Linked DNA regions of Arabidopsis thaliana. The protein of the gene in region 3 purifies or fractionates together with the protein of the main gene of each other region. This does not show direct contact. Each region holds a gene or a part of one and is shown on either strand. Other genes may lie near its edges.

The links.
Region 1: the proteins of ALDH10A8 (region 3) and ALAAT2 fractionate together in Arabidopsis thaliana (co-fractionation; one large-scale study listed by BioGRID). This does not show direct contact.
Region 2: the proteins of ALDH10A8 (region 3) and SDH1-1 fractionate together in Arabidopsis thaliana (co-fractionation; one large-scale study listed by BioGRID). This does not show direct contact.

What each region holds. Positions count from the first base shown.
Region 1 is NC_003070.9:27,231,571-27,238,198, reverse strand, and holds ALAAT2 (alanine aminotransferase 2), read right to left. Parts: upstream 4,725-6,628; 5' UTR 4,563-4,724; coding exon 4,350-4,562; intron 4,087-4,349; coding exon 4,036-4,086; intron 3,933-4,035; coding exon 3,882-3,932; intron 3,765-3,881; coding exon 3,699-3,764; intron 3,621-3,698; coding exon 3,559-3,620; intron 3,470-3,558; coding exon 3,391-3,469; intron 3,301-3,390; coding exon 3,157-3,300; intron 3,102-3,156; coding exon 2,991-3,101; intron 2,921-2,990; coding exon 2,783-2,920; intron 2,710-2,782; coding exon 2,514-2,709; intron 2,435-2,513; coding exon 2,280-2,434; intron 2,195-2,279; coding exon 2,120-2,194; intron 2,036-2,119; coding exon 1,832-2,035; intron 1,745-1,831; coding exon 1,628-1,744; 3' UTR 1,410-1,627; downstream 1-1,409. Other genes in the region: AT1G72340 (NagB/RpiA/CoA transferase-like superfamily protein), read right to left, coding at 1-235, 406-547, 663-815, 897-1,382; PUM23 (pumilio 23), read left to right, coding at 5,619-5,872, 5,969-6,332, 6,445-6,628.
Region 2 is NC_003076.8:26,651,639-26,659,105, reverse strand, and holds SDH1-1 (succinate dehydrogenase 1-1), read right to left. Parts: upstream 5,500-7,467; 5' UTR 5,331-5,499; coding exon 5,223-5,330; intron 5,043-5,222; coding exon 4,875-5,042; intron 4,781-4,874; coding exon 4,693-4,780; intron 4,563-4,692; coding exon 4,416-4,562; intron 4,322-4,415; coding exon 4,181-4,321; intron 3,994-4,180; coding exon 3,908-3,993; intron 3,833-3,907; coding exon 3,740-3,832; intron 3,645-3,739; coding exon 3,581-3,644; intron 3,488-3,580; coding exon 3,344-3,487; intron 3,221-3,343; coding exon 3,033-3,220; intron 2,925-3,032; coding exon 2,750-2,924; intron 2,668-2,749; coding exon 2,497-2,667; intron 2,399-2,496; coding exon 2,329-2,398; intron 2,235-2,328; coding exon 2,114-2,234; intron 2,023-2,113; coding exon 1,882-2,022; 3' UTR 1,410-1,881; downstream 1-1,409. Other genes in the region: CHR1 (chromatin remodeling 1), read right to left, coding at 6,237-6,461, 6,553-6,657, 6,748-6,846, 6,932-7,051, 7,155-7,274, 7,349-7,443. UniProt on the Arabidopsis thaliana protein: Flavoprotein (FP) subunit of succinate dehydrogenase (SDH) that is involved in complex II of the mitochondrial electron transport chain and is responsible for transferring electrons from succinate to ubiquinone (coenzyme Q).
Region 3 is NC_003070.9:28,137,476-28,145,440, reverse strand, and holds ALDH10A8 (aldehyde dehydrogenase 10A8), read left to right. Parts: upstream 1-2,603; 5' UTR 2,604-2,867; coding exon 2,868-2,976; intron 2,977-3,176; coding exon 3,177-3,319; intron 3,320-3,422; coding exon 3,423-3,503; intron 3,504-3,589; coding exon 3,590-3,738; intron 3,739-3,837; coding exon 3,838-3,930; intron 3,931-4,013; coding exon 4,014-4,137; intron 4,138-4,265; coding exon 4,266-4,331; intron 4,332-4,427; coding exon 4,428-4,494; intron 4,495-4,670; coding exon 4,671-4,747; intron 4,748-4,971; coding exon 4,972-5,085; intron 5,086-5,367; coding exon 5,368-5,445; intron 5,446-5,533; coding exon 5,534-5,685; intron 5,686-5,808; coding exon 5,809-5,869; intron 5,870-5,972; coding exon 5,973-6,079; intron 6,080-6,181; coding exon 6,182-6,266; 3' UTR 6,267-6,444; downstream 6,445-7,965. Other genes in the region: ORA47 (Integrase-type DNA-binding superfamily protein), read right to left, coding at 615-1,202; AT1G74929 (uncharacterized protein), read left to right, coding at 1,343-1,444; AT1G74910 (ADP-glucose pyrophosphorylase family protein), read left to right, coding at 6,985-7,045, 7,254-7,351, 7,436-7,536, 7,649-7,727, 7,830-7,890. UniProt on the Arabidopsis thaliana protein: Dehydrogenase that catalyzes the oxidation of several aminoaldehydes. Metabolizes and detoxifies aldehyde products of polyamine degradation to non-toxic amino acids.

The sequences.
Region 1 (6,628 bases), 910 kb from region 3:
CTCTCAGCAGCAACATAGACCGGTTTGTTCATGCTGTGTGCCACAAGTGCGATTTGGTATGTTCCCATCATGTTGATAATACCGCCACTTTCTACAACTCCATCCGCCCCGACAAACACCATGTCTACCTCGTCCATACTATACGCCACAGCTGAATCAAGCAGTAGTTTCACTGGGATATCGAGCTTCGATAGCTCACTCGATAACAGAACTCCTGTTCCATCCGGCCTCCCCTCTATCATTTTTTCACCAAAAAAAGTTAGCGAGAGGCTACTAATACAACAAAATCATAAAGAGACAGGGTTTATAAGGTCAAGACTATGCAACAAAAATGTCTCAGAGAAACCAAGAAACATTAAGCGGATACAACTCAAGTTCCAATCTAAGCTTGTTGTTTAAGCGAACCTGTGCAGAGAACTCGAAAGAGCTTGTTGTTTTGTGCAGCAGTCTTAAGTATTTCCAGAACAACTCTAGAGAGTCCATGAACCAATATGGTACAACCATCGAATATAAAATCTTGACTAAGCATTGCGATAATCCTACGAGCCTGCGCAATAACCAAACCTTTATAAACCCTCTTCTATCAAATACTAATTGATCTACTTCATTGATATATGTACAAAAACTACTAAATATGAGCCAGAAGCCATAAAAGGAAGTACCTTGCAAGATATTTCCCCAAATTTCTCAGCACGTTCAAGAAGACGAGACTTAGCTGAATTGAAATCTTCATATTCCAAAGCAGACGTTCTCGTAACGTATCTGATAAACAAATCGCATCCAGCTGTCAAAGAGATCGACGTTTTGTCCCACGACTGCCAAAATTTGAACATTTCTTAAATCAACAAAGCCCACAAAATCGAAGAATGAACAGAAAGTGAAAAATGAATTCTCACCTTGAGTGTATCAGAAGCCTTTTTGAGCTCAATTTCAAGCTCCATCATGGTGCTCGCTTCGCTCGCACGAATAACAGCAGCCAAAGCTCGTATAGCCGCGACGGCTTCAGCCAGATCCGGTTGTTTTCTCCAGTTATTGAACTCTTCAATTACATTAAACGACTTCTCGTTCCCGAGATCAGTTACGGATAAGTCATGCTGGGCATCGCCTGAGACGCCGCCAACGGCGGCTTGAGCTTGGGCTAGCCAGTCGCTTGTAATGACACCGTGATGCGCCGCGCGAGTTTGGTAATAAGCGGAGATGGAATCAGGGTTTTGAAAAGGACCTCGTGTTGTATCCGCCATTGGAGGTGAATTCGAGCTTCGTCGCTCGTCGAGAATAAACGACGGTGATCTTCTCCACATTGATTTTTTTTTTTCTTGAGAAAATTCTTCAAAATGGAAAAATTGAAGATAATATACTGTCGCTTTCTCCAGAAATATCATATGAAAAATAAATATAAGGCCCATTAATAATATAAGGCCCATTTATAAGCCCAATAAATTTACTAATTTTCATATCTTCATATGACATGCCATGGAATGGAAGTACAAAATATTCTAAAATTAAATTAGCTGATCACAATTGCCTGATCAAATTCAAAACACAAGTTTTCTTTTTTTTAATAACTCAAACTGATCACACTTTTCTTCAAAAGGGTCTTTAAGTTCATCTTCATGGTCAGGTCCTTTTAGTTGCGGAACTCGTCCATGAAGCTCTTGTGGAACTCTGTCAGACGATTCACTATCGCTGGAATCTTGTCTTCTTGTGGAAGTATTGTGCATCTAAAGTGCCATGTTCCAGGAACCTAAACCACAATGAATCCAAAACCCATTATTCAAGTTCGATCCTTTTGTAAGACATTTAAAGTTATGAAGATTTGGTTATATTTTACCTGTCCAAAGCCAGAACCAGGGACTACAACTACACCAGTAGCATTGAGAAGGCGTTTGCAGTAGAACGCATCTGGTGCAGTTTTTTCAGCCTCAGCAGCTTCGATAGCCTTTTGAGGAAGGTTAATTCGCGGGAAGAGATACATTGCTCCTTCGGCTCTGTTACATGTAACACCTTCTAAACTGTTGAGAGCGTCTTCCAAAGTCTGCAAGTTCATTTTCAAGCTTGTGACATTATATACAAAGAGACTGAAAAATGTCGTTAGAGGGTATTGTAATCTTCGACTAACCTTTGCACGTTTAGCCATGGATGAGAGAATTCCATCTCTTTCTGCCATGTATGAGTCATATGAGTCATCACCAGGCTGATCAAATACAATATTAGACTTTTTAGTCATAATCTGTTGCAAGAACTTAGCGAAAACCGATTAGAGAGAACTAGGGTGTTACCTTGGGTGGGCTCATGACAAGGCTAGCAAGAATTTGACCAGAGATGTTAGAACAAAGATTCACAGAAGCCATTTTGTATATCTGTTCTCTTACATCAGAAGTGAATCCAGTAACCTCCATGTAACCTCCTCTTTTTCCACATTCTCCATAATATCCTATCAACAGAAGAATATTAAAAACAAAAACCCCATTTTTTAGATGACAAGCATTGGACAGTAAAAGTTGTTCTTTTACCTTTGGAGACTGATTGGAACGAGACTAACGAGATATCTTTTTCTCCATAGCCCAAAGACCGAGCCACTTTCTTGAAAGAATGGAACTTTTTGTCAGGGACGTAAACATTTTCTTGGTAGACTTCATCAGCTAAAAGAACCAAACCCTCTTGCTTGCAGAAATTAACAATGTCACGCTGGTTTTCTTCCGCAAGAACCTAACCAGAATAAGAACGCAAGATTAGAAGAATGTTACATTTTGTTAGGCTAGTCTTGAAAATCTGTTTGTACCTGCCCAGTTGGGTTACCGGGGTTTATGACAACCAAGGCCCTTACAGAGATGCCCTTGGACCTAGCTTCCTCTAGTTGCTTCTTAAGGTCAGATATTTCCAGTCCCCATCCTGTTGCTTCATCAAGATAGTACGGAACCTAAGAAGTACAAATTTCAAAAACTTGTACCAAAAAACAACATTACTCCATGATGATTATATGAACATACCAAAGATCCACCATGAAGGGCAATTGAAGCCGAGTACAATGGATACTGAGGAATCGGGGAAAGAATACCATCTTTCTCTGAGCTCAAGAGAAGTTGCATCATCATGTGAACCTATAGAGTAAAAAACACCAAAAACACTTAGCATGAATCCTTTAAAAGAACTTACTCTAACTCTATGAGATAACGTTTTCGTTTTGATTGTTACCGCTGGACTTGCACCATCAGTCAAGAAAATATCATTTGGATCAGCAGGGAAACCATCACGTGCTTCGATTCCAGCTGCAATTACATCACGTAAACCCTTGATACCCTGAGGCAGAACAAAAAATGAAACATTCAGCAACATAAGAACCATCTCAAGAAAGGGTTTAGGACTTTTAACTAGACTCTAATAACAAACCTGGCTATGACTGTAAGCCCCAGTTGCTCTTCCGGGAATATGGTCCAAAATCCTCCATGCTCGGTCAATTGAATCGGTACTGATAGCAGAGTAGAAATCAAATGTTAAGCAATCTTAAACCGTGAGCATACATGTCCTAAAGCTGAAATATAGCAAGGAAAACCTCACCTGAACAAACCATGGGTTTCAGACTCATCCAAAAGACTTGCGTGGTCACACAATGCGAGAACCTGAGGCATATAGATGATAGACGTTATATCTCTGTGGCTGATATGACAACCAAACTAGTACCAAAAACATTCACTTACCTCACGGAAGAACTTTATAGGCAGCTGACCAAGAGATTGAGGATTCCCAATGTTGCAATAGATTATCTGCCAAAAGTAATGAAGAATTCTAAGTTCCTTGCACAAAGAGTTTGAGAACAGGTAACATCAACACTAAACTAATCATAAATCCGTCAAAACTGCCGATAAAGAAAGAGATTTTACCTCATCAAAGGGATAAGCATCCTTATTAGTCTTCAAGTCTTCTTGTAACTTCTGTAAGATGGAAGCAAAAAGCAAACAAAAATCAATTAGCATTAAAAACAATTTTACAGATTTTGTTCTTGGTTTTACAAGACAAAGCACATGCATCTCTGACCTGAGCAATGTTGACAATTTCTCCTCGAACAGCATACTCACATTTCAGAACCTGTTCCCCGGAAAAGAAAAAAAACTCTTAGTTAACAATAAAACCAACTTCTCTGTAATATAAAGTACAAAGAAGTTATGCAAAGCTTGTCGATTTCATCGTTGGGAATCACAACGAGAAGCAAAGGATAAACCTTTGGCGTTAAATCAGACAACCACAGTAAAAAATTGAAACTTTTTTACTAAATTAGAAACAAATCCAGATCAACCCTGAAACCCACAATTCAAAAACGCAATAAACCAGCTAGAGAATTAGAAACCGACCTTGGGATTGATGGAGTCAAGAGTAACGGGAAGAGAAGAAGTGGAATCAGAAGCAGACATCTCCGAAGTAGAAGAGAAGAAACGAGACAGAGCAGGAGGAGAAGAAGCAAGGGGACGAGGTTGAGGAGAGAGAAAGCTTGGACTTTTGTGGTGATGTTGACGACGAGAATGGTCGACGAGACCTTTAGCTTGGTTAATCAAGAATCTCCGCATCTGTGAATCAGCTTTATACTAGGAACGTGCTCTTTAAGCCCTAGGATTGAAAATTCTCTCACGAGGAAACAAGGGTCCCAATATCCAGTGCCTTGCACACCGAATTTTGCCTTGTCCTCCACGCTCAGAAATTGCTTTTTCGTTTTTTCTTTTCGAAAATCTAATTGATGAAGATATTTGTAGGGGTTTTTTTTAGGCGGCTAATTTTGTTGATTTATCTGTTAAACACACGACTAATCCCAAAAAAAGACATGTCTTTTATCAAAAAAAGATGTCTGAAGTCTATCTTCCGTTGACTTAATTATCCAAAAGGACCAAAATTGAATAATCCAATCACAGTCGTAATCTAATTTGGGGATAAATAGATACTTATAAAACCTACAGCTAATTTGAAAGTTATAAATTTTTAGAAATCTCTAAATTTAAATAAATCACAACAACATGTAGCAGCACATTGCTAACGATGAGGTTTTTTTTGGGCTACATAATTGGGCCCTAAAAAGGTCGGTAAAATCGTGATTTAAAGCCCATTATTTGTTTATATCCACGTCAACAAAACGATATCGTATTAGGTTGGACGAGAATAAAACCCTAGGAATTAGAAAATTTGTACAACGTCAAAACATCGAAGATTTTGATCCAACGTATACCAAGAGTTTCGGAGACGACGTCGTTTTGTCTCTGCGCCGCGTTCTTAGTCTGAGCTCACGCTTGTTCGTTTCTCCTCTAACGTCAACTGTGTTTTTGCATCCTCAAAGGTTTGTGATACACCTTATTGTTTCTGTTCTTTTGTACAAGCTTCACATGGATTAGTGTAAAGTCTTAGAATTGGGACTCGGAATTTATTGTTATGTTTTAGGTTATTCAACCCAGTTATGGTATCGTTTTGAAGTAGAGGTAGAAACCCTAATTTTTGGGGTCTGTAAATTTGGAGAAAAAATTGAACCTTTCCCTTTTTTGTTATATTGTGTAATTTGGGACTAATAGTTCTTCGAAGCTGAGTTTTTTTGTGTGTAAATTTTGTAGGGTTTAACATAGTTGGGGCTAGGAATTTTCATGGTTTCTGTTGGTTCTAAATCATTGCCATCTAGGAGGCACAGGACCATTGAGGAAGATAGCTTGATGGGTGAACGAGGAAAGTCTAGTAACAATCACAGTGAAAGGAATAAGGGAATGCGTAGGAAGGACCATAAGGGTAACCGTGGATTTGATGTAGATAGCAGCAAGAAGAACCAATCCGGTGGTGCCCCCAATGTAAAGCCAGCATCAAAGAAACACTCCGAATTCGAACATCAGAATCAATTTGTCAGGTAAAGGAGATTTTTAACCAAGGGCCTTTGCTCTAATTTATAGTCGAAATTTTGTTGTTGTGAGAAGTGGTAGTGATTTGGGTGTATCTTTTTCAGGAAAGAGATTGATCCAGAGACTTCAAAGTATTTCTCTGAGATTGCCAATCTCTTTGATAGTAATGAAGTTGAATTAGAGGAACGTTCAGTAATATGTGGAAATGCCCTTGAAGAAACAAGAGGGAGGGAGTATGAAATTGCTACAGACTATATCATAAGTCATGTCTTGCAAACTCTACTTGAGGGATGTGAACTTGACCAACTCTGCAGTTTCATACGAAATTCTGCTAGTGTGTTCCCAGCCATTGCAATGGATAGATCTGGTTCTCATGTCGCAGAGTCTGCTCTCAAATCCTTGGCCACACATCTAGAAAATCCAGACGCCTATTCTGTTATTGAGGAGGCTTTGCATTCTATATGCAAGGTACTTTATACAATTTTTACTGGCTTTGACAATCATATTAAGGTATCCAGATTATTGCTTCTAGTCTAGTAATTGACCTCAATTTTGATGGTGAAATATTTCCCCTGGTCAGGTGATTGTGGATAATCCTCTTGATATGATGTGCAACTGCTATGGTTCGCATGTACTACGAAGGCTTCTTTGTCTTTGCAAAGGAGTCTCTTTAGATTCCCCTGAGCTTTATGGCGCAAAATCATCAAAAGCTCTGGCCAAACGTTTGAATCTGAAGATGTCTCAGCTAGATGACAATAATTTAG
Region 2 (7,467 bases), on a different chromosome or scaffold from region 3:
AAAAAAATAATCTGGAGTGTTTTTAATAGTAACACATACAGTAAGGGAAATATAATCTGACAGCTTTTCATCTTTTCACATATATAATTAGAATTTTAGAACAATTGAATCCTATAGAATTTAGTTTTTCTAATGTGTGCAACAACCATACTAAGTGCAACGATCACCAAAAATTAAAATGTGAGTTTGTGTTGGATATTTAAAGTATTTTGGTTGAACAGAAAATAAAGAAGGATATAGTTAAAGTATTTTCTTTTTATAAATGATAATTTGCAAATGTGTTTTTTTATATAAAAAAAAGTGAGTGGGAAAGAAAAATATGCAAAAAACAACGTTTTAATCTCTCTGGCTTTTCGACTAACCTCTCTTTTGTGTTGCACTGCACCTTTGTCTCCACGTCAAAATGTCACTCACTTCACTTTGGTGACCCACTTCTTACACATCTCTCTTTCAGTTTTTACATAAAACATACAACAGTCTCTGAATATACAGCACTAGGTGCATAGTGTTTTTCAGATTTCTTATGAACTATATTAACATAAAAGCAGTAGATAAGGTAATTTCTCTACAATTTGGTTAAATTCATTGTGTAAAAAGTAAATAACAACAAGAATTAGTTTTTATTCTAATGAGTTTTTTTTTCCGGGTAAAACTCCATATATTCTAATAAGTTTTGTATGTCTATATATATATATATGAATCTTCCCCCATTAAGCATAAGTTCCGTAACCGGTCAAAGTAAATTTGAAAAAGATTTTTTACTTTAAGATAAGGATAAGAAAAAGAAAGGTGTATGAGTGAGTAAAAACCCTACTTTATTGACAAGGTTAGATGAAGATTAGACAATTTAATTACGACATTCCTCGATTTCTCTTTCATACGTTGCGTTTTAGGCATTGCTAAGTCAGCTTTGTGTCGAAATTTTTTAATTAACTATAATTGATTGGGTTTTGGAATTGTTAAATGTGAAATGAGCAGGTTAATAGATAAGGTTGGTTGGTGAAGTCGACTGGTTTAGTTTAATTTGTGTGGAGCTTTCTAATTTTGTTATCGATTGGTTCTAATTAGGAATAACACACACGCATGCGGAAAAATATAATATCTTATGGTTGGTTAGTGTAATATTGAACTACATAATTAGTCGAATTGGTGTGGGGCTAGTTTCTAAGCTTCAAGGTCGTAATCATAGATCATTTTTGTATTTACATTCACCGACTGTATCTTCAATTTGCATATGTGGAAGAGCACTTTTTTAGTATACGCCATAAGCAAGTGGACGACTTTTAAAGAGAGATACATTATAAAGGTCACATTTTCTACGGCCAACATTATCATCTAGCGACGACGATCGGACCAATCTAAAACTCGCTCAGATACGCAAATATTGAACAAAAATATTTGAAATTACCCCCACTTGTAGGCCTAAAAAATGCCTTGACTGATCCGAATTTACCTAAAATAAAATTTTGTTCAGACAAGAAAAAACAACCCAAATTTTGTTTTTCTAATGGTCACAACTCAAAATTGTATCTCGTGTTCTGATACCTATTATCACCGCAAAATAACTTTCACGGTCGATACGGAATTCGAACATTTTGATTTAAAAAAAAAAAATGAATATCACCAAGGCGTAATTAACAGGTAACAAAGAATGTAACAATTTCAGGAACTGATAAAGAAAATAAGAATTGTAGTGTTTTTTCCTCTTTCTATCAATTTATTTTCATCGTTTCTGGTGTAAAACGTAAACCCAGTTTCAGAACAGTCCTTTGTGCTCCATCAGCTCATAACTCCGTCTTCTTCTCCTAATTCCCTTTTTTTGGGGGGTTCCTGATTATTATTATTATTCCGATAACAGATAAAATAAAAACATGGGCTCGATCAATAGACACGAGCTTTGGGAGGGAAAGTGTCGATCTCATCGTCGAGAGTGTCCATGTGAACAGGCCTATAATCCAATCTCACTTTCTCATCTTCCCAATATCCCAATGTATGCTTCATCCATTCTCCATCCTCTCTTTTCTGCATACACACGCATTCATTTATACTACGTTATGGTTTCATCATTATGGGATAATCAATCATTGTGGAAAAGCTGAGCAAGGAATCAAACCGTGAAGTCTTCCCGAGCATGTGCTCCTCTGCTTTCCTTTCGTGCTTCTGCTGAATGCATTGTTATGGATGCGTTTATCAAAAGGTTCTCCAGTTCCAATGTCTCTATCAAATCCGAGTTCCTGCATTTTATTCATAGTTTCCAAGATTAACAAGAGTTCACCAGATTTTATAACAGTGTGATAATCAATCCCATGTGAATAGAGTCTGTCTTACCATATCATACTCCGATCTTTCACCTGGACGTCCCCAAAACTTTCCCAGGCCTTGTCAATCAACTGACAACCTGTGATTGTTTCACGGTAATAAATTGTAAAGAAAATGGATTGCAGTTGCAGGTGAGAGAATTAAATAAATGCAGAACAAGTTCAGATCACTGTTTACCTTCTTCCAATGTTTCTTGCGTGCGGAACACAGCTGCGTTGTTCTGCATAATCCTCTGCATGTTCAATCTGATAGTTGAAGTAGGTAGAGACCCGTTTGAGTTTCTCAACCTGTCCAGCCATGCAATAGTCTTCTCACCCGCATCCTTCTCAAGAGGTTTCTGTTTCTCCCCTGCACCAATCGAATAAAGAAAAAAAAATGATCAGAAGAGACTTATCTTTTATAATAACAGCAGTCCTCAAAAAAGACTAACCTGGTTTGCTTATCTCTGCAACCCTATTTGCACAAGCACGACCAAATACGACAATGTCGAGCAGTGAATTTGCACCAAGCCTGTTGGCACCATGAACAGATGCACAAGCTGCCTCCCCAGCAGCCATTAGCCCAGGAATCACTGCATCTGGATCATCGCCTTTGATGGTAACTACCTGCAGGATTTAACAGAATAACTTTCAGAGCTAGGCTTCTAATCCATCTCATGCTTAACTCCACACAAATTTCAGCAAAGTTTCTTAAATGACTTTTCTTATTCTTACCTCGCCATGGTAGTTTGTTGGGATACCACCCATGTTATAATGAACCGTGGGTAAGACAGGAATTGGCTCTTTGGTAACATCAACACCAGCAAAGATGGCAGCGGTCTCAGAGATTCCAGGAAGCCTTTCTTTTAGAACTTCTGGAGGAAGATGATTCAGATGGAGATAGATATGATCCTTATGCGGTCCTGGAAGATATCAGCAAAAAGTTGTCCAGGGTGAGAATCAAACTAGACTGATCACAATATCAAAGCATATCATGTAATGAGAGTTCACTCTGAAAATAAGAAGTAGTTTTCAGTGGAACATACCTACACCACGACCTTCCCTGATTTCCATAGTCATGGATCTGGAGACAACATCTCTTGATGCAAGATCCTTGGCTGTAGGAGCATATCGTTCCATAAAACGTTCACCTTCACTGTTTCTAAGGATACCACCTTCACCTCGAGATCCTGCAATTGTTTAAACACCAAATTTTTTTTGTGAAAAACACATTAAATTTTATATTGCAAACAAATTCGAGTATGTGAGAACATGATACTAACCTTCGGTGATGAGACATCCGGCCCCATATATACCAGTTGGATGGAATTGAACAAACTCCAAGTCCTGCATAAATTTATTAAATATAAGATTATTAGCATACAAATTACAGACAAATACATCATACACAATTTTGAATAAAAACGAAACAGGTGGAAAACCTGCAGTGGAAGACCGGCCCGTGCAACCATTGCATTTCCATCCCCTGTGCATGTATGTGCTGAGGTTGCAGAGAAGTATGCTCTGCCGTACCCCTGGAAAAACATTAGCCACCAGGTGAGCATATTTTCGTTATTGCAAAAAATCGTATCATATAGAAACTAGCTCACCCCAGTTGCCAAAATTGTTTGAGAAGAACGGAAACGATGCAATGTTCCATCTTCCATGTTTAGTGCAATTACACCCTGGCAACTGCCTGCATATCAGATAGAAATGTTGCATTAACTTCAAAGTCGCTTTCCCTTAAATCGATCAATAAGATCCATCCAACCACCTCATAAAATCAACTACTAGTTCTGAATTCTACTGACATCACCCCTCCACCAAATTGGCAAATACTAATAGAAGCGACAGTAAAAGGAGAATAACTTTGATTAACTTACCATCACTAGCCATGAGCAGATCCAAGGCGAAGTATTCAACAAAGAACTGTGTGTTATGCTTCATAGCTTGTCCATAGAGAGTATGCAACAGAGCATGACCAGTCCTATCCGCAGCACAAGCACAACGATAGGCCTGACCACCTGAAGCAGAAAAATAGGAAAGCCAATATGAGAGACCTATTAAAAAACAAAGTAAATAGGAATATCAATAATAGCAAGACATCAGACAACTCACCTTTTCCAAAGTCAAGACTCTGACCACCAAATGCACGCTGGTAAATTTTCCCTTCTTCAGTACGAGAGAAAGGCAGCCCATAATTCTCAAGTTCAATGACTGCTTTTGGTGCCTCTCTACACATGTACTGGATAGCATCTTGATCACCTACACAAAGAAATAAACAAGAAAGAACTCACTAATCAATTCACTAAACCACATCACATAAGAGCTACAAAAAGCAAAAAAAAACATTTCACTAAAAAAAGAGAAGAAACAAAAGGAAGACTAAGATTACCTAGCCAGTCACTTCCTTTGACAGTGTCATACATGTGCCATCTCCAGTCATCTTCGGACATATTTCCCAGTGCAGCATTAATACCACCCTTGACAGTTTTTTCGACAACATAATCTCAATCAAAAAGAAACAAAACTATATTTAAAAATCGACAGTATAAGGAGATTAGTAACGAAAAATACCTGAGCAGCAACAGTATGTGACCTTGTGGGGAAAAGCTTAGTAATGCAAGCGGTGTTAAAGCCATGCTCCGATAACCCAATCGCCGCCCTAAGACCAGCACCACCAGCTCCCACCACAACCGCATCATAAGTGTGATCCACTATCGTATAAGAGGATCTCGTATCGGTCTACTCAACAGATAACCAAAATAAACACCACAAAACAAATCGATCAAAATTTTCCCCGATTTTCAACAATTTGCTCGACTACTAACGCATTTGAATGGCGGATAAAACTATGATTCGTGAATTACATAAGATCGAATTAGAAAATAAACAAAACGGAAGGAGAAGGAAGAGAGATCATACAGAACCAGTGGAGAAGAATCTGGAAAAGCGAGATCCAGAGACGCCATCAAAGAGTGAAGAGGTCTTTGAAGCAGGAGCTCGAAAGCCACGAGAGACGCAGCGCCACATCGTCTTGTTGTTGATTCCACAAGCGAGTCAGTTTCTTCGATGCAAATCTCCGTAGAAGAAATGAGAGAATACGAATTTCGCGTAGAGGAGGTTTCCTTTAAGAGGAAGACGCGAACGGAGTGAGAGATAGCCACCGAGGCGCTTAAAATAAGAAAAATGGAAAACGATGATGACTTCTCTTAAATTCCCTTAATTACCCCTATTCTCACTCCATATTTACTCCTAAACCGGGTTTGCTTTACTAACTAAAACCCCCTAAGATTAGCTCTTGTAATGGTCAAATTGTCAATAATACCCCACTGCATACTTTTACCCAAATGTTTGGTGCCTGCCCCATTCATTCTTGTCGGCGTCTCGTGTTCATGTTTTAGTCCATTAGATGCAAAACCGATAAAACTAAATATTTACTATTTACAAGAATAGACATCAACAAATCCGATGTCGTCCAGCGGTTAGGATATCTGGCTTTCACCCAGGAGACCCGGGTTCGATTCCCGGCATCGGAGCTTTTTGCTTCTTTTTTAAACCCTACTCAAGTTTTTAATATTCTGTGAAACTATTGAGCCTAATCATATAAGTTAACAAATCCCAAATCCAAAACATAAGATCCCATAAGTTCGTGAGAAATAGCTCAATGCCAAAATTGCAGACTACAAAGACTATAAACGTACACAAGTCATAATATTACCGCAACAGCAAAATCAGAGGGCCAATTGTTTTCATCACATTGAGAGCTAATCACCATTAACTGTCATGTTTTCAGGGTTTTAAGTGAGTTCTTTAACTTACAAAAACTTCCGAGCCCTCTAATAATTAAATCCTCCCAGCCAAAAGTAACCGATCATGTTCCGGAAAAAAAAAAAAAAAACACAGAAGTGGTTTCAAGGCCTGGCTTATTAATGTGTCCTAACTGTTCAGGGAAGACAGCATTCCTCCCGAACTAGGCAGGACCACTTCCCAACCTGGACCCTTCACTGGAAAAGCTTCAGCAGCTTGTGTCTCTCCCGGTGCAGTAATTGTCAGGTCACTCCGGTCAAGTAACCTGTCAAGATCCGCATCGCTTATATCGGTTTGTATCAACTTATCTTCAGCAGTTTCATCTTCCTTAAGCAACGCCAGTATGTCCTCTTCCTGTGTGTTAGTTTGGTTCAAGCTGTCAATAGGAGATTTTGTTGATAATAAGTGTATCTAAAAAGGATTGAGCTTTAAGAGAAGTTAAAACCTCTAAAGGTGTTGAAGACTTGGCACGTTCTTGATGAAACTGCCCTTGGCCAATAACCACATGTTCCAGCTTGAGCTTACTGTACGCTCGTTTCAGAACCCGGGTCTGAGCAAATGTCATAAACCAATCTCATGAGGCAACAATCTCAATGGTTTGAAGTTAAGATTGATTGATATGAACAACAAAGAGTTTTACCTCTATCGACTGAGCCGTGGAAAGCCTATAAACATGAACAGGTTTCGTCTGCCCGATTCTGTGGCATCTGTCCATGGCTTGCAAGTCCATTTGAGGGTTCTGGAGATCAGACAAAACACAGTTGGAGACAACACGAAAGAGAAAGATTTTCCTTCAAAGAAAATAAATTAATTGATTTGATTACCCAGTCGCTGTCATAGAGGATGCATGTATCAGCAGCAGTAAGATTGATTCCGAGTCCTCCAGCTCTGGTACTCAGGAGAAATATACTACAGCTGCTCTTCTCATCACTGAAATCTTTAATCTGTTTCAAGGCAAAGAGAGAGAGAGAGAGACCTTATGGTTATAATATTTGGTCAGAATATTGCTTAAAAGCAACGCAAAAGCAGCATAAGCACAGGTGAAACCTGTCTTCTCCTTTCATCCAGCTTCACACTGCCATCGATTCTGCAAACCTCAAACCCCTTCTCACTGAAGTAGTAATCCATAATGTCCAAAAGTTTCGTCCATTGGGAGAAGATAAGGACCTGGTCATCAGCAAATGGATCAGAGAAGTTCTCAAAGGGAAATGAGCTACGAGCCATGGGTTTGTGAAACATACTTTGTGATTATTGGCAAATAACCGAACAAGTAATCTCTCCAATAAGCGGAATTTACCACACTGTCCAACAATCTCTTCAACAGGAGGGTAGAGATCTGTCACGAAATGAAACAATTAGA
Region 3 (7,965 bases):
CTTATCCACCCCAATTTTTTTTCATTTTTTTTTCCGATTACTGATATTTTTCTCGATTCAATTCTATTTTCTTTGAAGACCGTTTCTCTTCCTTGATTTCCAATCCTAATTTCTTGACTTATTGATGTTGAACTTTGTAATTGTCATCAATACTATCGAAATGCTTGGAAGATATTTTATCATATTTCATTTATAGAAACCCCCTTGTGTTTTAATTAGGCCAAGGGAACCTTCGTACTTCACTTAAGTTAACTACTTTATCACGAAAATCAATTTTTAAAACAATGGGCTGAGAAAAATGTTTAATGACTAAGGCCCAACTATAAGATTTTGGGCCGGATAATATAATCTTCCAAACTCATCGTGTTCGAAGGATATTCTTCAGAATAATGAAATGGACTTTTAACATTTATTACTAGAATCTTATCCGATTTTTCTTTACAACAAAAAAATGAAAAAATATAGGTGTGAATATGATCCACATCAAATTCGGATCCGAAACGAAAGAAATTCCCGGGTCATTGGAGCTCCGTGTTACAAAAAATCTCCAGATTTCTCCATGACTCCAAGGAAAATCTCACAGTTCGCTCTAAAAAAATATTATGTTTGGGAATTCAAAAATCCCAAAGAATCAAAGATTCATCTAATAAACTCTCTCCTCCGTAATCTTCGATGGGTAAAATCTCTGTAAATCGATCACCACCGGAGAAGCCAGAGAAGTCGTCGGAGAAGGAATCAAACCCGAAATTCATCGGAAGCAAATCCAAAAACGAAAAATCATAATCCACCGTCGATGTAGCAACAGATGCAGATGTAGAAGGAGACTCTGGTCGGATCTCGGATCCGGGTACTAAACCCGATTCTTCTTCTCCCTTGACAATGTCTTGGAATGTGTTAGCGAATCTAGCAGCAGCTTCCTGAATCTCCGGAGGCGTCAACGACTTTTCTACGGAGATCGACGGTGGATTATTAGGGAAATTGAAATTAGCATCGCCGCCGCGGAGACAAAATTGAGCGGCGTCGAAAGCACGCGCCGCCTTCTCGGGAGTGTCGTAAGAGCCTAACCAAATTCGTTCTCTGCTGTGTGGAAGTCTGATCTCCGATACCCATTTTCCCCATTTCCTCTTCCTCACTCCTTTGTACTTTGACTGCATCGCCGTGTTTCTCTTCTTCTCCTCTTCCTTCATCGCTTGCTTCACCATTGGATAAAAACTCCGGTTCGGTTCGATTCGGTTTGGTTGAATTGGATTCTGTTTCCGGTTCTTAACTCGAGTTTCAGTTGTGTAGGTTAATTCTGTTATATCTGGTTGATTTCGAATTTGCGGCTGTGTGGGATTTATATATGAAGAAGTGGAAGTGGCAAGTGAGGAAGAAGATCAACGCTGACTGGCGCGTGAAGATGGGACACGTGGCGGATTGTATTGAGTGGCTAACGCGGGAATAGTGAGACTGTTCTGCTTTGTCGTGTTCCTTGTTTTCCACGTGATTTAATTCAACTCTCTTTTGTCTTTTTGCATTATATCTGAATGATTATCTCTATTTGTTTAGGCACGTTTGTTTTAAATACTGAGATTTTCGTCGCGACTTCTGTTTCTAGAATTTTAAGACTACTTCTTCTTTTGTATTTTAGAGATTATTGGGCGTTGAATCGGACACACATAAGTATTGTTATTATAAATGTTTGCATCAATGGTTAGGCTCATGACATTTTTGATGCGGACACTAATTAAGAAGTTAAGAAGCAAGTATATGACTCACTGTTTTGAAGAAAGAAGCGAGTCGTCTGTTGATCATAACTTGAGATTCGTAGAAGAAGAAAGGTGGAACCAAAACAGAAGTTTCATACATGAACACTATTTAGAGCAGTAGCTATCTCTTTTGTTTACGCATTCTGTTTTCCAAATAAGTTAAAAAAAGTTACCTTCTTTTAATCCCACTTCTCAAGATGGAGCAATAATTGAATTGAAGGCCAGTGGCCACTACTAACTTTCATTATACTTTGCTCGAGATAGCCACTACTAATGAACTTGTGACACAACCTTGTGTAAGAACAGTCTCCCTTAGATTCAATAATCAATTTCCATTTTGGGAAAATCGTTTGTTACTATTATTTATTTGTTCAGAACCCACGGAACAGATTGCCCCCAACCCTCCGAGTTACCAACTTTATAGGTTTTCGCTGAGCAACAACATCCCATTAGAACGGTGAAGCTCATCATCATGAGCATGAAGGAGAAGATTCTTGTTGTTGTGGTCGCCATTATCGATCAAAAGATCACAAATTAAGAAAATCGAAGAAGGAAGATTGAGGAATATAAGTCGATGAGTTATTTGAGTATTGATGAGGAAAACAAAGACTATACGAACTCTCTATTTATAAGGTTTACGGAACCTAATCCTTGCCGGTTTAGGATTTTACTCAACGTTTGGAATATATTACATGTTTATTTCCTTTTTCAATTTTGATTCACCTCTTATCTTGCAAAAAAACAAAACAAAAAAGTGACGTTTAAAGATCTCTAATCCTTTTCTAATTAACTTTGTGTATGATTTTTAGTTCTTCTAATTTCTATATATTTTTGTTCATAATATGAAAATTTGATCTCTGTTTTAATTATTTTGGAACTAAATACACATTTTTAATTAGATTAGTAAAAGAGTTATAATTAAAAAAAGTTGATCTGGTTGGTGTCAGCAGAACAAGGAAAAAAGAGAGGCTTTTTCGTTTTGATCCTCCTACTCTTCTTCATTAGTGAAAGCTACTTATAAAGTCCAAATCTTGAAGTGCGTGCACGGTGCACCACGAATCCACGATCCAGTGAGCAGCAGCAACTCCATCTCCGGAGCTCTAGATTCAGATAAGAACAATGGCGATTCCGATGCCTACTCGCCAGCTATTCATCGACGGCGAATGGAGAGAACCCATCTTGAAGAAGCGAATCCCGATCGTTAATCCAGCTACTGAAGAGGTCATTGGTAAGCGCTTTTCTCAAAATCCGCCACAGCTCGATTAGATCCAAGTAAAAATGTATACTTTTGTTTACTTCTTAGTTCGATGTGGAGATATTACTTGCTCCTAACTCTATTCATGACTATCTTTTGCTGTATCGACTACTTTCTTTCCATGAATTTTAGTTGAAGTTGATCCAAGGATTTGTATGTGTTGGATGAGATAGGTGATATTCCTGCAGCTACAACGGAGGACGTGGATGTTGCTGTCAACGCTGCTCGAAGAGCATTATCAAGGAATAAAGGGAAAGATTGGGCCAAAGCACCTGGAGCTGTTCGTGCTAAGTATTTACGTGCTATTGCTGCTAAGGTATTCATTTTATGTTTGTGATTGTGATGCTGTGTTGACAAAGCCTCAGTTTTGTTTGGGCTTTTGTGTAATCAGTTTTAGTCTTCTGTTATCTGATGTGTAGGTAAATGAAAGAAAGACGGATCTGGCAAAGCTCGAGGCGCTTGATTGTGGTAAACCATTGGATGAAGCAGTATGGGATATGGTACTGTTGCTTCCATTTTGTTTTTGTGAAATGTAGGGTTTTCTTTGTAGGTTTGATCTTAAATGTGTTTGTTTGATCTTTTGCAGGATGATGTTGCTGGATGTTTTGAATTTTATGCTGACCTTGCTGAAGGATTAGATGCTAAGCAGAAAGCACCAGTCTCGCTTCCCATGGAGAGTTTTAAGAGTTATGTTCTGAAGCAACCTCTCGGAGTTGTGGGACTTATTACACCATGGTAGCTTTCCTTTTGTGGTTAACTTGTTTGAGTCTATATGGCACCTATTCTATTTTATATGACCAGAAACTGACTCATGGATCTGGTTTGATGTTGAAGGAATTACCCCCTTTTGATGGCTGTTTGGAAGGTGGCTCCTTCCCTTGCTGCAGGGTGCACTGCGATTCTCAAGCCATCAGAGCTGGCATCAGTGTACGTAATTGTGTATAATCTGTTTTGCTCTTATGCTTCTGTATTGGTCCTTATTTGAACACGTCTCATGGTTCTAAATTCAGTACTTGTTTGGAGCTTGCTGATATTTGTCGAGAAGTTGGTCTTCCTCCTGGGGTCCTCAATGTTTTGACTGGTTTCGGTTCGGAAGCTGGTGCTCCTTTGGCATCACATCCTGGCGTGGACAAGGTATTGGTCTTTGAGAATACAGTAAACATAAGTCCCAACAAAATTAACTCTAAAGGCTATGATTAAACATTCAGTTTAACGTCTGCGTTTCTTAAACGCTTCAATGCTAAGTTATGATTTCGTTGCAGATTGCATTTACTGGAAGTTTCGCCACAGGAAGTAAGGTCATGACAGCCGCTGCTCAGTTGGTGAAGGTAATTCCAATTTTTGAACTTTCTGCTGTATATTCCTTCTCCTCCTTTTGTTTCATCACCAATGTCAATGACACATTACTCATGGCATTGTTGCAGCCTGTTTCTATGGAACTTGGTGGGAAGAGCCCTCTCATTGTGTTTGATGACGTTGATCTTGATAAAGGTGAATGTCACAAAAAGTAGTTTAGTGGATTTGGAGTTTTTTTATAATAACTTCTTCTTGTGCTATATTCAAGATAGTACTAATGCTTTTGTTGCTTTGAGACGAGTAGACATGACTTAAATTTGCTTAATCTTAAAATTAAACTCTTTGTATGTTTTGACGCCGGCAAATGATAGCTGCTGAATGGGCTCTTTTCGGTTGCTTCTGGACAAATGGTCAAATCTGCAGTGCAACTTCCCGCCTTCTTGTTCACGTAAGTCCCAATCTTCTACTTGCTTTAAGGTTTTACCTGATCTTCCCAATATGACATGCGAATATTTATTACTGGAGAAGTGAATGTTCCAAGTCATACGGGAAGATGTTTCCATTAAGGTCAATGACAATGACATTTATTTCAGATCAAACCTTCTGGTGGATATGCCAACAGGGATACAATTGCTGACTCTCTTGTCTAAATTTTTTTATTTTATATCTTAGGAAAGCATCGCATCTGAGTTCATAGAGAAGCTTGTAAAATGGAGCAAGAACATTAAAATTTCAGACCCCATGGAAGAAGGATGCAGGCTTGGTCCTGTAGTTAGCAAAGGACAGGTAAAATCCCAGTGATCGTTTTTTCTGTCTTCATATTATTTGTCAATTTCCCATCAGGTTGCAATACAACAACCAGGACTAAAAAGGAAAAGAGAATTGAGTTCTGTAGTATAGTGATTAACTTTTGTCCCTCTAATTCTGAACCGTTTAGCTTTTAGAGCATCAATCAAATCACATCTAGCATATGATATTTCATCACGCTTATCATGTTCTTACTTGGTAGGTGTGCTTTTCTTCTATGATCATATAATCTGATTGAGCTGACAAATGTAAATATTACAGTACGAGAAGATATTGAAGTTTATCTCAACGGCCAAGAGTGAAGGAGCAACGATCTTGCATGGTGGTTCCCGACCTGAGGTATTACATCTCCCTCCCTTACCTATCCTTGATGCAGTTTCTTCCAGACTATGATGATGACCTTTTATATCATATCTATATTTCACAGCATCTGGAAAAGGGCTTCTTCATTGAACCAACCATCATAACTGATGTAACCACTTCAATGCAAATATGGAGAGAAGAAGTTTTCGGGCCTGTTCTTTGCGTGAAAACATTTGCCAGTGAGGACGAGGCAATTGAGCTAGCAAATGACTCTCAGTAAGTTAACGTTTCTCCAGAAAGTGAAATCTGATCAAATCCCATCCGCTGACACTGGTGTTTAAATCAAATTTATCATTTAAGATCTTATGTGGCTGAAAATTATTCATTGATTAATGACAGTTACGGACTAGGAGCTGCAGTGATATCTAATGACACAGAAAGATGTGACCGTATAAGCGAGGTTAGTACCGGTTTCTTGAACCATTCAGATTTGTTTTTAATGCCTAGCAAGTGAAATAACAATACCATCAAATAACACAAACAATTGGTGTCTACTTTGTTAGGCCTTTGAAGCTGGGATTGTCTGGATTAACTGCTCGCAGCCTTGCTTTACCCAAGCCCCATGGGGTGGTGTCAAACGCAGTGGGTTTGGACGAGAACTTGGAGAATGGTACATTTCTTTTTCTATCTCGAATCTTGTTTTTAAAAGACTATATCTTGATGGCTTGTACTGAACAAATCTTGGTTATGGCTGGTTTCTTGCGTGCTTCAGGGGACTTGATAACTACTTGAGTGTGAAGCAAGTGACTCTCTACACTTCAAACGATCCCTGGGGATGGTACAAATCTCCCAACTAAGTAATGAATACATTGTCATGGAAATGGAAACCAAACCAAATGCTGTCTGTTCAAATCTTTGTGCTTTTATTATCAGTCTGTCTAGTTCGGTCCTGAAACTCTTTTGTAAAACCTGTTGAATTTATAATGAATAAAAGATGCTTTGCTGATAATTATTGGTTGTTCTATAAAGGCCAGTATTGAGGCACCATTTTAGGCTCTGGTGCAGCAGTATCAAGAACATGAACCATTTTATGTCACCTTCAAGTCACATCAAAGTTAAAACTCACATGGCAATCAATTCCAAATCATAACTTTTTTTTTTACTATAATTGCTTGAAATAAACATTTTATGAGATCTGAAGATTTGTGGATTTTTTTTCCATTTTTTAAATAGTAAAATGTTTGGCAACCAAATCTGAAAAAGAGGTAAAGACGAGAGGTCTCGCGCTTATCCTTAAAGGACTGTGGTGAATGGTGAGTGTGACTTGGAGGGACCCCATCACCGCAACAATACAGCTTCTTAGATCTCGATAACCACAACTAACCTGTCACAGTTTCGATTAGATCTTCTCAAAAACTTCACCTTTTTTTGTTTTTCCAGTTTCTCAGAGGAGATCTTCCTTCAAAGCTCAAATCCTTTTGTCTGAATTGTGATACTGCTGTCCCCATTTTTCTGCAAGTTGGGAAATTTCTGTCAAAGTTTTGTGGGTCTGTTAAAAAGATCTGAGCTTTGAACATGGGGAGCTCAATGGAGGAGAAAGTGGTGGCTGTGATCATGGTCGGTGGTCCAACCAAAGGTAACCGCTAAATATGTTTGCTTTTTTTCTTTCTTTCTTTCTGATTCCTCCTCAAAAGCAAATGACTGTGAAATCTCGATTGATCAAATCTAATTCCGTTAGATTTTGATATCCAATGCGTTTCTCTCTTGTTTGGTTATTAGTTTCGTGTATCCGAATGATTATGGTTCTGATTCTGTGTAAATATTGGTTATTGAGTGATGCACAGGCACTCGATTTCGGCCATTGTCGCTGAATATTCCAAAGCCTCTGTTTCCTATTGCGGGACAACCAATGGTGCATCATCCAATTTCAGCTTGTAAAAGAGTAATATTCTTCACTCATGATTTCAACAATTCAGATCACTGGAGAGACTGAGAGATGATGATACCAATCCCTTATTGTCTGCAGATTCCAAATTTAGCTCAAATATATCTTGTTGGCTTCTATGAGGAAAGGGAATTTGCACTTTATGTTTCAGCCATCTCTAATGAACTTAAAGTTCCTGTTAGGTTAGTGAATCTCTCCTCTTTTTGCGTTAGCTTCAGCTCAAGTATCAGTGGCTCATTCGTGTAGCTCTGATCTTTCTTCTCTGTTTTTTTTTTTTGGGATTCTGCAAATTAGATATCTGCGAGAAGACAAACCACATGGTTCAGCTGGTGGGCTGTATCACTTTAGAAATCTTATTATGGAAGATAGTCCGGTTAGTCTCCAAGGATCTTACTATATAGAATCATTCTTCTTTTGTGTTTTATGGACTAAATGCTTCTTCTCACATCTGAGTTCCTATATCTACTTCTTGCAGTCTCATATCTTCCTGCTTAACTGTGATGTTTGCTGCAGTTTCCCCTTGCCCAAAATGCTCGGTATATTCTTTTTCATTAATCCAAACCTTGTGAGGTCTCATCTTATGGTTTTGAAGGTCGTTCTTAACTATTGCT